Macaca fascicularis: one gene and its partner. The protein of the gene in region 1 interacts with the protein of each later gene in a pairwise test. Links are inferred from orthologs where the notes say so. Each region holds a gene or a part of one and is shown on either strand. Other genes may lie near its edges. The genes, in order: CSTPP1 and RAB29.

What was found.
Region 2: the proteins of CSTPP1 (region 1) and RAB29 interact in a two-hybrid assay, tested with the Homo sapiens proteins (2 studies listed by BioGRID and IntAct). The two-hybrid records come from large-scale screens. The link is inferred for Macaca fascicularis from reciprocal best matches to the Homo sapiens genes CSTPP1 and RAB29.

What each region holds. Positions count from the first base shown.
Region 1 is NC_088388.1:18,801,782-18,807,723, forward strand, and holds part of CSTPP1 (centriolar satellite-associated tubulin polyglutamylase complex regulator 1), read right to left. Parts: intron 4,015-5,942; exon of another isoform or gene 3,951-4,014; intron 2,787-3,950; coding exon 2,656-2,786; intron 52-2,655; coding exon of another isoform or gene 1-51. UniProt on the Homo sapiens protein: Regulator of the tubulin polyglutamylase complex (TPGC) that controls cytoskeletal organization, nuclear shape, and cilium disassembly by balancing microtubule and actin assembly.
Region 2 is NC_088375.1:63,613,083-63,619,597, forward strand, and holds the start of RAB29 (ras-related protein Rab-7L1), read right to left. Parts: upstream 3,756-6,515; 5' UTR 3,659-3,755; intron 3,378-3,658; exon of another isoform or gene 3,373-3,377; 5' UTR 3,254-3,372; coding exon 3,130-3,253; intron 2,834-3,129; exon of another isoform or gene 2,689-2,833; intron 930-2,688; exon of another isoform or gene 892-929; coding exon 820-891; intron 1-819. UniProt on the Homo sapiens protein: The small GTPases Rab are key regulators in vesicle trafficking. Essential for maintaining the integrity of the endosome-trans-Golgi network structure.

The DNA of each region.
Region 1 (5,942 bases):
GTGAGCTGAGACTGTGCCATTGTATTCCAGCCTGAGTGACAGAGTAAGACCCTGTCAAAAATAAAAATAAAAAAAAAAGTTGAAATTTATTCTGTGGCTATTACTTGAAGGCTTTAAAAAAATATTCTAATATTCTTAGGCAGTGGCCCAAGCCAAAAACTTGGAAATTACCACTGGTCTTCTCTCTCATCTTAATGCCAAATCCAATCACCAAATCCTATGGATTCTATCTCTAAAAGCGCCCCTTCCATCTCCATACTGCCTTAGTGTTGGCTCTAATCTCTCACTCAACTACTACCAGACTTCTATGTTCCTTGCCTCCAGTCTAGACCATCTTCTACACTGCCTTTTGAATGATCTTTCTAGAGCTCAGATATTACCACACCACTCTCCTATCTAAAAGCCTTCAAATAAGATGGGGCATGGTGGCTCACGTCTGTAAACCCAGTGCTTTGGAAGGCTGAGGCCTTGAGTTCAGGAGTTTGAGACCAGCCTGGGCAACATAGCAAAACCCTGTCTCTACAAAAACATTTAAAATTAGCTAGGTACGGTGGGCATGGACCTGTAGTCCTAGCTAGCTAGGAGGCTGAGTTAGGAAGATCACCTGAGCATGGAAGCTCAAGGTTATAGTGAACTATGATCAAGCCACTGCTCTCTAGCCTGGGCAACGGGGTCTTTTTTTTTTTGAGACAGAGTCTTGCTCTGTCGCCCAGGCTGGAGTGTAGTAGTGTGATCTCGGCTCACTGCAAGCTCCACCTCCCGGGTTCACGCCATTCTCCTGCCGCAGCCTCCTGGGTAGCTGGGACTACAGGCACCTGCCACCACACCCGGCTAATTTTTTTGTATTTTTTAGTAGAGATGGGGTTTCACCGTGTTAGCCAGGATGGTCTCGATTTCCTGACCTTGTGATCCGCCCACCATGGCCTCCCAAAGAGATGGGATTATAGGCGTGAGCCACCGCACCTGGTTGCAACTGGGACTTAAAAAAAAAAAAACCCAAAACCAAAAAAAGCCTTCAAATAACACCCAGAGAATAAAATTTAACTTTTTTGTTTGTTTGTTTGTTTTGAGGCAGAATCTCGCTCTGTCACCTAGGCTAGAGTCAGTGGCATAATCATGGCTCACTGTAGCCTCAACCTCCCCCGGCTCAAGTGATCCTCCTACCTCAGCCTCCCAAGTAGCTGTGACTACAGGTATGTGCCACCACACCTGGCTAATTTTGTTTATTTTTTTATAGAGACAAAGTCTCAGTATGTTGCCCAGGTTGGTCTCAAACTTCTGGGCTCAAGTGATCCTCCTACCTTGGTCTCCCAAAATGCTGGGATTACAGGTGTGAGCCACCACATCCAGCCCCAATTTCTTTTCTTTTCTTTTCTTTTCTTTTTTTTTTTTTTTTTGAGGCAGAGTCTTGCTCTGTCGCCCAGGCTGGATTGCAGTGGCACAATCTCGGCTCACAGCAACCTCTGTCCCCCAGGGTTCAAACGATTTTTGTTTCTCAGCCTTCTGAATAGCTGAGATTATAGGAGTGTGCCACCACACCTGGCTAATTTTTGTATTTTTAGTAGAGACGGGGTTTCACCATGTTGGTTTCAAACTCCTGACCTTAAGTGATCCACCTGCCTTGGCATCCAAAAGTGCTGGGATTATAGGCTGAGCCACTGTGCCTGGCCCAATTTCTTTTATATGGCTAAAAAATGATCTTTCAGCAGCTCCGTTATTCCTTCACAGTCTCATCTCCCCTAACCTCCTTCACAAACTTCACACAGACCCTAGACATTCTGACCTGTTACATAAGTATTCCAGGTTCTTTTGTGCTTCAGCATATGTTCTACCTAGGATGCCCTTCTCTCCTTTATCCATGTGAATGATTCCAACTCTTCCTTCCCAGCTTAGATCAAACAGCCAGTTCTAAGGAGGACCTTCTCTGCTCCACTTTTCTCTCCCTCCTCTAACAACAGTATCCCCATCCCACCCCCATTCAGGAGTTTCTTTCTTTGTATTCACATTATTCCTTGTATTTACTGCATGGCATTTTAATATCTGCCAAGAGCAAGGGCTGTGGAGTCAGACTGCCTGGGTATAAATCTGGGCCCAGAATTTACTATGTAACCTTGCCAAGTTACTTAACCTCTCTGATCCTCAGTTTCGTTAGTTACAAAATGGGGATTATAGTATCTACCACAGAGAGCCCTTGTAAAGATAAACGAGTTACTACACGTAAAGAGCTACACTTGGCTCTTAATAGGTATCATTAGTGATGGTAGTGGTAATAGTAATATCTTTGACATAAACCAGACAACTCCTCAAAAGTGAGGTATTCTAAATACCTTGAATAGCATGCATTCAAACAATATTTATAGGAACAAAAGAAAAAGTTTGAAAGAGAGAGAGAAAGAAAGAAAGAAAGAGAAAGGAAGAAAGGAAGAAAGGAAGGAAGAAAGAAAGAAAGAGAAAGAAAGAAAGAAAGAAAGAGAAAGGAAGAAAGGAAGAAAGGAAGAAAGGAAGAAAGAAAGAAAGAAAGAAAGAAAGAAAGAAAGAAAGAAAGAAAGAAAGAAAGAAAGAAAGAAAGAAAGAAAGAAAGAAAAAGAAAGAGGGAAGGAAGGTAGGAGGGAAGGAAGGAAGGAAGGAAGGAAGGAAGGATTCGGGAAGACTTACCGCCATTTTTGCCCACAGTTCGGAAGCATCTCCAGAAGGCTCGTAAAAATGATACCCTATTGTGGGGGGTGGCTTGGACGAAGCTGAATTCTCGAAAGAGAATGTGTGTTCCCTGGCATACACTGTTAAAACTGCAAAGAGAAAAATCAAGAAATCATTGTTAGATGGAATCCAGAAGGCTGGAATCAGAATGAAAAATTGAGACCAGAGAGAAGCACTGCCAAAAAGAGGGAATTTTTCTCCCCAACAAAACTCTGAAGTCTAGATTAGACCTAGCCCTTCTATGGGGAAGTCTCTTCATATAACCATATCTCTCCGAAAACTCTTGGAGGCCAGTTCCTCTGAGTGCTTCCCACCTTCCACAGGTACACACAGAGGACATCTAAATCAGTCATTAGAGCATCGCATATGGAGGAAAGCCTTTTAGTCTCTAACTGGATGACACTGGCACTCATATTTTCCTTTTTGGAGAATACTTTTCCCTCCACTCCATTTGGAATTAGGTTTCCTTAAAGATATTCTTTCTGGGCTGGGCGCAGTGGCTCATGCCTGTAATCCCAGCACTTTGGGAGGCCAAGGTGGGTGGATTACTTGAAGTCAGGAGTTGGAGACCAGCCTGGCCAACAGGGTGAAGCCCTGTCTCTACTAAAAATACAAAAATTAGCCGGGCATGGTGGTGTGCGCCTGTCATTCCAGCTACTCGGGAGGCTGAGGCAGGAGAATCACTTGAACCTGGGAGGTGGAGGTTGCAGTGAGCTGAGATCATGCCACTGCACTCCAGCCTGGTCAATAGAGTGAGACTCATTCTCAAAAAAAAAAAAAAAAAAAAAAAATTCTTTCTGTACTCTCCCTGGCCTATACCAGCTGCCATAAGGATAACATGGCTTATGGGGACATAACTGGAGTGTCTGTTCCAGTTTGGGGTGGTTTTATATATCTCTCTGACAATAACCCCAGAGACAAATCCCATGTGCCAAAGGATATAAAGGGTCCAAACAGAACAAGAAAGGAAAATAGAAACAAGGGTATAAAGTGGCCCCTAAATGAGAGTATGAAGCAAAGCCCCAGGGCCCAAGTGAGTCATTGTTTAAGCTGGGCCAGGGAAGGGAAAAAATATACTCCATTGACTTTGGGTTTTCCTGCCAAAGAAATAAAGGCTGTAGAGCCTGGTGTAATCTAAAAATGGAAATTCCACCGAAGAATAGGCAATTATCCAGTAATCATCCCTACCAGAGCAAACTTCAGGTTCCAGAAAACTTCTAAATTCTCTGACAAGTAAATCATGAGCGGAAAACATGTTAATCTTTGTGGAGAAGCAGACATTAAATTTGAAGATGGCAAGCAATGGGGGGAACGGTGGTAATTCCAAATGCCAATTTTCATTTGTTGACCATATAAAGCGGGGGAAAAAATCTGACTCTGAATGGAACAAGAAAAAATTTCAGGAGCCATCTATTCCGTTTCCCTTCTCTCAGACCAACTTCATGGGAAAGAGTCTAACTTGTCTTTAGAGTATGTTTTCATTTAGGATAAAGTTAGTTCCTTCCTGTTAATAGTAACAGCACTTTATGAAAAAGCAAACTATATACTCTTCTTCTTTAATGGACAGCTAGCATAGAAATCTACTTCTAAGACACCCTGAGGAAGTATGAGGACATCATCTGGCAAAAGATTAGGTTAGTAGAGGGGCTTTCAAAAGCAACGAAAGTGTTAACCTAACCATGCAGTGCTATTGTCTTAAGCAAAGGAAAATAAAAAATACAGGAAATGAGCTGTTATAGGTAAATGCAGTAGGCTACATTTCCAGCAAATGAAGTCTGAAATGATAATACTGTAGCCTAAATTCATGAAGCTATCCAGCAAAGTAGTCCCAAAGCATGCTTCATATTCTAAGAGAGAAAAGTTGATGTCTAGGTCATGGTCTAATGAAATTGTAGCTTTGTTATAGCTTTAAAGACTATCTCAAATGCCAAATTTTGTGTAAAGTCTTTTCCTGATTTTATCTCCCATGCCCAATTTCCATTGTATCTCGCTTAAAATTCTCTAACAGTGCTCACAATTTGCTACTTTGTTTTAAAGTTACTGGACTTTCCCCTATTAGACTGTCAGTTCTATGGAGTAAACACAGATTGTACTCATCTTTGTCTCTACTATATTACCTAACTCATAATTACTCATAAATATTTGTGGAAATTGATTTAGAAAGATAAGAAAGACAGGTAAGTGATGCCAGGTAGAATGTATCTTTGAAGCTAGCCACACAGGAAATATTGAAAGTCTATATCTTATTAATTTTTCTAAATTCCAGGCTTTGGGTCTGATATTTTTATTATAATATTGCAATACCAGCTTTATTTTGATTGGTATTTTCCTGGTATATCTGTTTCTGTGTCTTTAATAACCCCCTTCTAGGTCATTTTGTTTGGGTATATCTCTTGTAAATAGCATGTGGCTAGATTTTGCTTCTCTACCCAACCTTACAGTCACTATATGTTAATGAGTAGCTTTTTAGTGTATCTGATTAATTTCTGACCTGATATCTTATTTTGTCTTTCCCATTATCCATTCCTCTTTGCCTTTCCCCACCCTCTTTTCCTACCTTCTATTGTGTTAGTAAAGTTTTGTTTTGTTTTAATTCTTTTCTATCCTCCCTATTAGTTTGGAAGCTATAGACAAAATCTATAATCTTTCAGTATTAAAATTTAATGTAATCAGCCAGACATGGCAGTACATGCCTGTAGTTCTACTCAGAGGCTGAAGATGGAAGATCGCTTTAGCCCAGCAGTTTGAGTCCAGCCTGGGCAATATGGTGAGACCCCATCTTAAAAAATTAACATAATATTTATCTACATTGTTTTTTCCCCAGACATTGTCTCGCACTGTCACCCAGTCTGGAGTGCAGTGGCCCCATCTTGGCTCACTGCAACCTCTGCCCTCCAGGCTCAAGCATCGATCCTCCCACCTCAGCCTCCGATTAGCTGGGACCAAAGGCATGCATCATCACGCTTAGATATTTTTTTGGATTTTTAGTAGAGATGGTGTCTCACCATGTTGCCCTGACTGGTCTCAAACTCCTGAGTTCAAGTGATCCACCCGTCTCAGCCTCCCAAAGTGTTGGGATTACTGGCGTGAGCCACCGCGTCTGACCTATCTACACATTTTTGAAAATGTCTGAAAATACTCATTATCTTTATAACTCTCCAAAACAAGACAAGGGGCCAGGAATGGTGGCTCATGCCTATAATCCCAGCACTCTGGAAGGCTGAGGTGGGTGGACTGCTTGAGCT
Region 2 (6,515 bases), on another chromosome or scaffold:
TCCTCTCTAACACCTCAGCCTCTCCCCATTCCTTGTGGAGGGGGGCAGTAAGCATATGTGGCAGAGGGAGTCACTCACTTTCCCCCTCTGACTCTTGGTTTTCTATCTATCCCGTAAAGGGATAATGAAGCCTGATTATTTCCAAGGCAGATTCCGCACCCCGATTGCTCCAGTCCATATCCCTGCTCTGCTGCATACTATTTGACTTCGGGCAAATTAAGCTCTCAGTGCTTCAGATTTCTCATTTCTAAAGTAAAGATAAAAGCAATAACTTTTTTTTTTTTTTTTTTAAAGAGTTTCACTCCTGTTGCCCAGACTGGAGTGCAATGGTGCCATCTAGGCTCACTGCAACCTTCGCCTCCTAGGTTCAAGTGAATCTCCAAAAGCAGTAGCTTTTATGATAGGGTTGGTGTGAGGATTAACGAGTCAGTGAATTTAAAATGCTTAGAAGAATGCTTGGCACATAATAAGGATTCACTATTTTTACTGTATCTATTTTCTGGGGATCTTGTTTTTCACCAAGGTCAGCCTTAAACCTAGAAAAAGGACCCTCCCCTGCTGTGGGAGTATGCACTATAGTCTGGACAATCCACCACCTTGCCAGCCCCTCCATCCACATAGAGACTGCTCTAGATCTATTCAGGGCAAAACATCTACAAAAGCTCTGCACCTATTCAGCTCGTGTGTCCTCAGAGCAGCTCAATCATTCCAGCTTCGGAAAAAAATTTCTGGCTTTGCTGCCCCATTTTTTTTTTCCTCAGATTTTCCTGGTTAAATCAAAATTTCTTCCCTCGTTCCTATCCAGCCCTCCCACTTTACCTGCAATATCCCACAGCTGAAGTCGCACTATCTCGGAGTCAGACCACTGGAGAACCTTCAGAGCAAAATCCACTGAAAATATATGTACATTATACCTTAATAAAATTTCACTGTAAAAATGAATAGGGATAAACTCAAATCAAATAGGCAGTGACAACCCGATGGACACACAACTCGAATCCCATGTTTATCTTTAAGCCCTCAATTCACTGAGATGAGTCCACACATGTGTATTAAGTGTGAGATGGATGGTTCATACTCACTCTCCAAAGGGGTTTCCAGCTTTTACTCTCCTGTCAAGCTCATCTGTTTGCTACTACTTGTCTCCAAGACTGGGGGTGGGAGTAACTATGAAAACAACTCTCATTCTCAGGTTAAACAGTTTCTGGGAGATTTAGGGGGTTTTCTCAGGGAAGGGGTGATGGGGGAGAAGGGGGAAATGAGACAAGTGTGGTTGTTTCTGTATCTTCCACATTCAATTTCACTGCTGGTTTCTAATCAAATTGTATTATGAAAACAACACACCCTGGGGAACTCTACATCCACCATAAGGTTGCAGGTATTATCTTGGGCAAGAATGGAATAAACGGAAAAGGTCCCAGAGGAGTCCCAAGAAGACACTGTGTGGATGTTGCTGAAGAGTCCTGCTGGAATCTACCACAAAGTCTGCAGATGCTGAGACTCCTTAAGGCTAAGTATTCCATGGGGAAAAGCTTTTGGCTAAGGAGAGAAACACAGTAATTTCTGAGGTTTGGAAATATTATCTTTCACATCTGTAACAGGAATCAAAACTAAGGGAAATTTAGACTAAACACTGAAAAAAAAAATTAGCCAGAGTCAATTATATTCTTTGTTAAAGGAAAACTACAGCAATTGTTAAAAATTAACTATTAATAGAAGGCCAATTTTAACCCAAATCCGTGAAATAGGGACCCTTATATTATTTAGGAGTGGAAGGGCAGAGAGGTCAGGATAGTGTGTCTGAAACTTTGAACCTTTAATTTTGCCAGACTTTAATGTTTTGTTCCTTTGTTTTTGAGACAGGGTCTCACTCTGTTGCCCAGGCTACAGTGCAGTGAGTGGTGCGAACGCGGCTTACTGAAGCTTCGACCTCCTGAGTTCAAGCAATCCTCTAGTCTGAGTTTCCGGAGTAGCTGGAACCACGGCTACTTTTTTCTTTAATTTTTGTAGAGGTGGGGTCTTGCCATGTTTCCAATGGCTGCTCTCGAACTCCTGGGCTCAAGCAATCCTCCTGCCTCAGCCTCCTAAAGTGCTGGGATTGCAAGTATGAACCACTGCACTGGGCCCTACTGGGGGTTCTTAAGGAGAATGTTTTAATTGCAATGTGAATGCTTAATTTCTTTTTAAACTTCCATATGAACAGGAGCACACATTTTCACTTTTTCCATTGGTACGTTTTTCTCCCCTTAAAACAAGTTCTTTTAAGAGAGAAAATTTTAAGTTACTCTCCCCCATCACCAGCTCTTCCTAAATACCTTCTAATTAACAATAAGGCATTTCTACCTCTGAAAAAATAGTTGAGTAAAAAGGCCATACCCGGGAAAGAAAGGAATGAACTCAGTGTTCTCTTCCTCCCTACCTTCTTCAGTTTGAGGAAAAAGTGGTGGGAAGATAGGTCAGAGAAGTGGTATATTTCACATTCTTCGAAGAATTCCTTGGTTACTTTTATTTAAGCAATCAACGGACAAAAACACAGCTCATCAGCCCTCATGGGCATCTGACTGCGTAGCCAAGGGGCTCGTTTGGGGATTTTGTGTCTTCCATCCCACCCACAGCCCCACAACAAAGCTAGAGTCCTTCAGACCAGTTCCGCTTCCTGCGTTCTCCCACTGAAGCCAGGTTAAACACCTTGCGGTTCCTTCCTCAACAGAGGTGCAGAACTACAGCCCCAGCCGGCACCTAACCAGGAGGCCCCCAGAGGATCTCAGCTGCTTCTGCTGATTGGAGAGATGCCAGACAGCTGAAAGGCTGGAGACTTGAGTTCACAGTGCGCCTGCAATAAACAGCAATTGCTTATCCTCATCCTCCCTTCCCTATTTCTCATCTTCAAGCCTTTGTTCTTACCTTTCTCCTGGCAGTGGGGTCAGGTTGGGAAAAATCTAACTGGGGAAACTCAAGAGAGGCTTGTAAACGAAACACCCGGCAATTACACCATTTAGGTTCCCAGACAGTACTTCCTGACCCGAAGAAGGACCCAACAACCGACAGCAAATCCGGATCCCACTTGGGTCCCCAGCTCGAGTCCGCGGTCGAGGCCTCCTCCTCCCCCTCCCCCGAAAGACGTCTCACCTCCCACCGTGGACTTGTAGTGTTTGCTGAAGCTGTCCTGGGAATATCGCTGCACCAGCGACGTCTTGCCCACTGCGGCGTCCCCCACCACCAGAACTTTGAACAGGTGGTCGCGGCTGCCCATGGCTAGCGGGGCGTGCGTTTTAGGGAGGCGGGAAGTGGGGGAGTCGCTTGTTTTAACCCCTTTGGCTCCGGACCCTCTTCAAACTGAAGTGAGGCATTCCCACCCACCGCCTGTGTGGGCTGCTCTGACGAGAAAGCAAAAAAGGAAACTTTGCACTCAAACTATACGTGCTTCCTCCCCCGGCGGCCGCAACCTGGGTGGGGCGCAGGGCGCAAGCTCCGAGCCCCCGGCTGTTCGCACCTTCCCCACCCCCTCCTGGCCTGACTGCCGAGAAACGGGACCAGGCGCCTCGGAACCTCCCCACCAGGACTTTCCCGGAGCGGCTCCGAGTCAGTGACTGAATCCCAGTCAGCTCATTACACCACTGGGGCCAGATGATGAGGACCCTCCCCTTGCAGCACATACCAAATTGTCAGGAAGGAGCAGCCGGTACCTTTCTATTCCCTAGACGTCGTCCCGCGCCTCTCTCTAGCCTTCCTCCGCCAGCGTCACGTGCAGGGTTGCCTGGAGCACTACATTCCCCAGCTTTCCTCGCGGTAAAGAGAACCAGCCGAGTGCGGAGGCTCACCCGCGAAGCCTCCTGGGAAATGTAGTGTATTCTTTTTTTCGTTTTAAGCCAACCTACACAAAGTTTCAAGGCTTCAAAACTCCTTCAACAGTTCGGAATCTTATTCTGAAACAATTCTGGGTCAGTTAAGGTCACTTAAGAGGAGATTTGTGCAACGTGATCTCACTGGCCTGAATCCATCCCCAGATAGTCTTCTCCTGTCTTTAAAGGTTTAACGGAGTTAAGATTAAAACTTATTTCGTTAGTAAAAGTCCAAGCCTCATCCATAATGCTCCAAGTGAAGTCCATTTCCTATTCCTTCAAATAGATAGACAAGCCCAGGACTTTGTGAAATGACTCATATTTTCTGTATGAACTTGCCCAATACCAGGCAAGTTCAGGAAAACTTGACCCAAGAGACCATTCTTTGGAAAAACATATGCCAAAAGTTACAGCATTTAATATCCAGCAATAACAATAAAGATAGACAGAAAACAAGAGACAGTTCCCCATTCATACTTCTGCAATGCCTATTCTAACCATACTACTCATGTATCACTTGAGGTAGAGGCTAATTGAAATACACTGGGAATCCTTCTCGATTCATTGTGGCTGTTGTTAATAGATAATCATAAAACTAGTGTTTGGCAAATAATTTTAATTTTTCAGCCTGAAACTTTACTGACCTGCCTGTCACTTAGGTAGGAGTTGGCAGGACATGAGCTCAATGGCAAGCAAAGAGAGCTCCATTTTCTAGACTTTTTCTAGAAACAGAAGAAGAGAACCAGCAGGGCCATGGGAAAACAGCCCAGGACCAGACACTATGAAATCTTACCTAGGTCTCTTGATAGAGAGGCTATCACTTATGTTTTGTGGGGAAAGAACATCAGCGTGGTTCACAATATATTTTGCCCAGAATGTTTGTTACTCAGGTACAGGAGGTTAGGCCAGGCTACTCATCTTTAAGGATCCAATTTTCTCTGTTCCTATTCGTTTTGACATATTTGACCACTCCTTGACATTTGTTTCCCTTATGCCTTCTATGACACTGCTCTTTCTTTGTCATCCCCCTACTTCTCCGATGATTATCCTTTTCTTTCAGGTTTCTCGCCATCCCATTTCCCTCTAAGTATTTCCTGAAGCTCTATTCTTGGTCTTTGAGTCAATGATTCTATAAACTCTTCAATGAATTGTCCTTGGTGTCAAAGATCTGTCTTCACTTTATTGTTCTTTATCTCTGATCAGTGATACTCAGCTGCCCAAAAGGTGCCTCCACTTGGATGTCCTGCCACATCCTTCCTCTTACTACATTGCCACAAAAATAGCTCCTTTTCTCAGCTTCCCTATTTCTGTCACTGGTCTCATTATTTCTTCCCTCCATGTAGACTTCAGATTCTGAGAATTATTATTTCCTTTACACATGTCCCTTTATGCCTATTTATTTATCTGAGATGGAGTCTCACTCTGTTGCCCAGTCTGGAGTGCAGTGGCATTATCTTGGCTCACTGCAACCTCTGCTTCCTGGGCTCAAGTGATTCTTGTGCCTCAGCCTCCTGCATAGCTGGGACTACAGGTACGTACCACCAAGCCTGGCTAATTTTTGTATTTCTTGTAGAGACAGGGTTTTATCATGTTGGCCAGGCTAGTCTTGAACTCCTGACCTCAAGTGATCTGCCCGCCTCAGTCTCCCAAAGTGCTGGGATTACAGGCATGAGCCACAGCACCTGGCCTGTACCCTTTAAAAAAAAGTCAGTTACCATGTCTGATTGATTTTTTCTTCAGTAAGTGGTTTCTCCCACTCATCCTCTCTGCTTCATATCCAGTAACACTTTCTTTTTTTTTTTTTTTCTCTAACTTTTATTTTAGGTTCAAGGGGTACATGTGCAGGTTTGTTACACGAGTAAGCTGCATGTTGCGCGAGTTGGCATACAGATAATTTTGTCACCCAGGTAATCAACAAATAACACTTTCCTAGTTCAGGCTTTCACCATCTCACACCCGCATTATTGCAGTAACCTGTTCATTGGTTTCCCTGAGTTTATTTTCTTTTTAAGTCACCCTCTACAACTGGACAGGATGGTTTTCCTAAAACACCATTGTTTGTTCTTCCTTATCTACCAACTATCTTTCAACAAAAAGGCCAACCTCCCTGAAGCTGGTGTCCAAAGCTTTCTATGCACCTGCTCCAGCCTACCTAACCAATTTTATCTCACCCTACCTCAAATGGGAGTTTCCTCTCTCCAACAAAGTGAGGTTCCTTATGCTCTTTTAAAGCCCAAAGTCATTTTTGGTTTTCTATTTTTGTCCAGGATGCATCACTTTCAGAATACTCTTCAGGTTTCTAAATCTTACTTAAATATCTTCTAATATACCTTTCGGCTGGGCCCTGTGGCTCATGCCTGTAATCCCAGCACTTTGGGAGGCTAAGGCAGGGAGATCACTTGAAGTCAGGAGTTCAAGACCAACCTGGCCAACATGGTGAAACTCCATCTCTACTAAAAATAAAATAAAATAAAATAAAATAGCTAAATCTTACTTAAATATTATTAAGAAAATCAAAAGGAAGAGAAACTATATTATTCACTACGTGGGAGTAGATTGTCATAAAGGTCACTGTAAGTTCTAAAATTTTAGTGTTCATAAGAATCATCTACCTTGGGTACTTGTTAAATGCCGACATTTTGATTCTGTAGGGCTAGGGGAGGACCCAGGTGA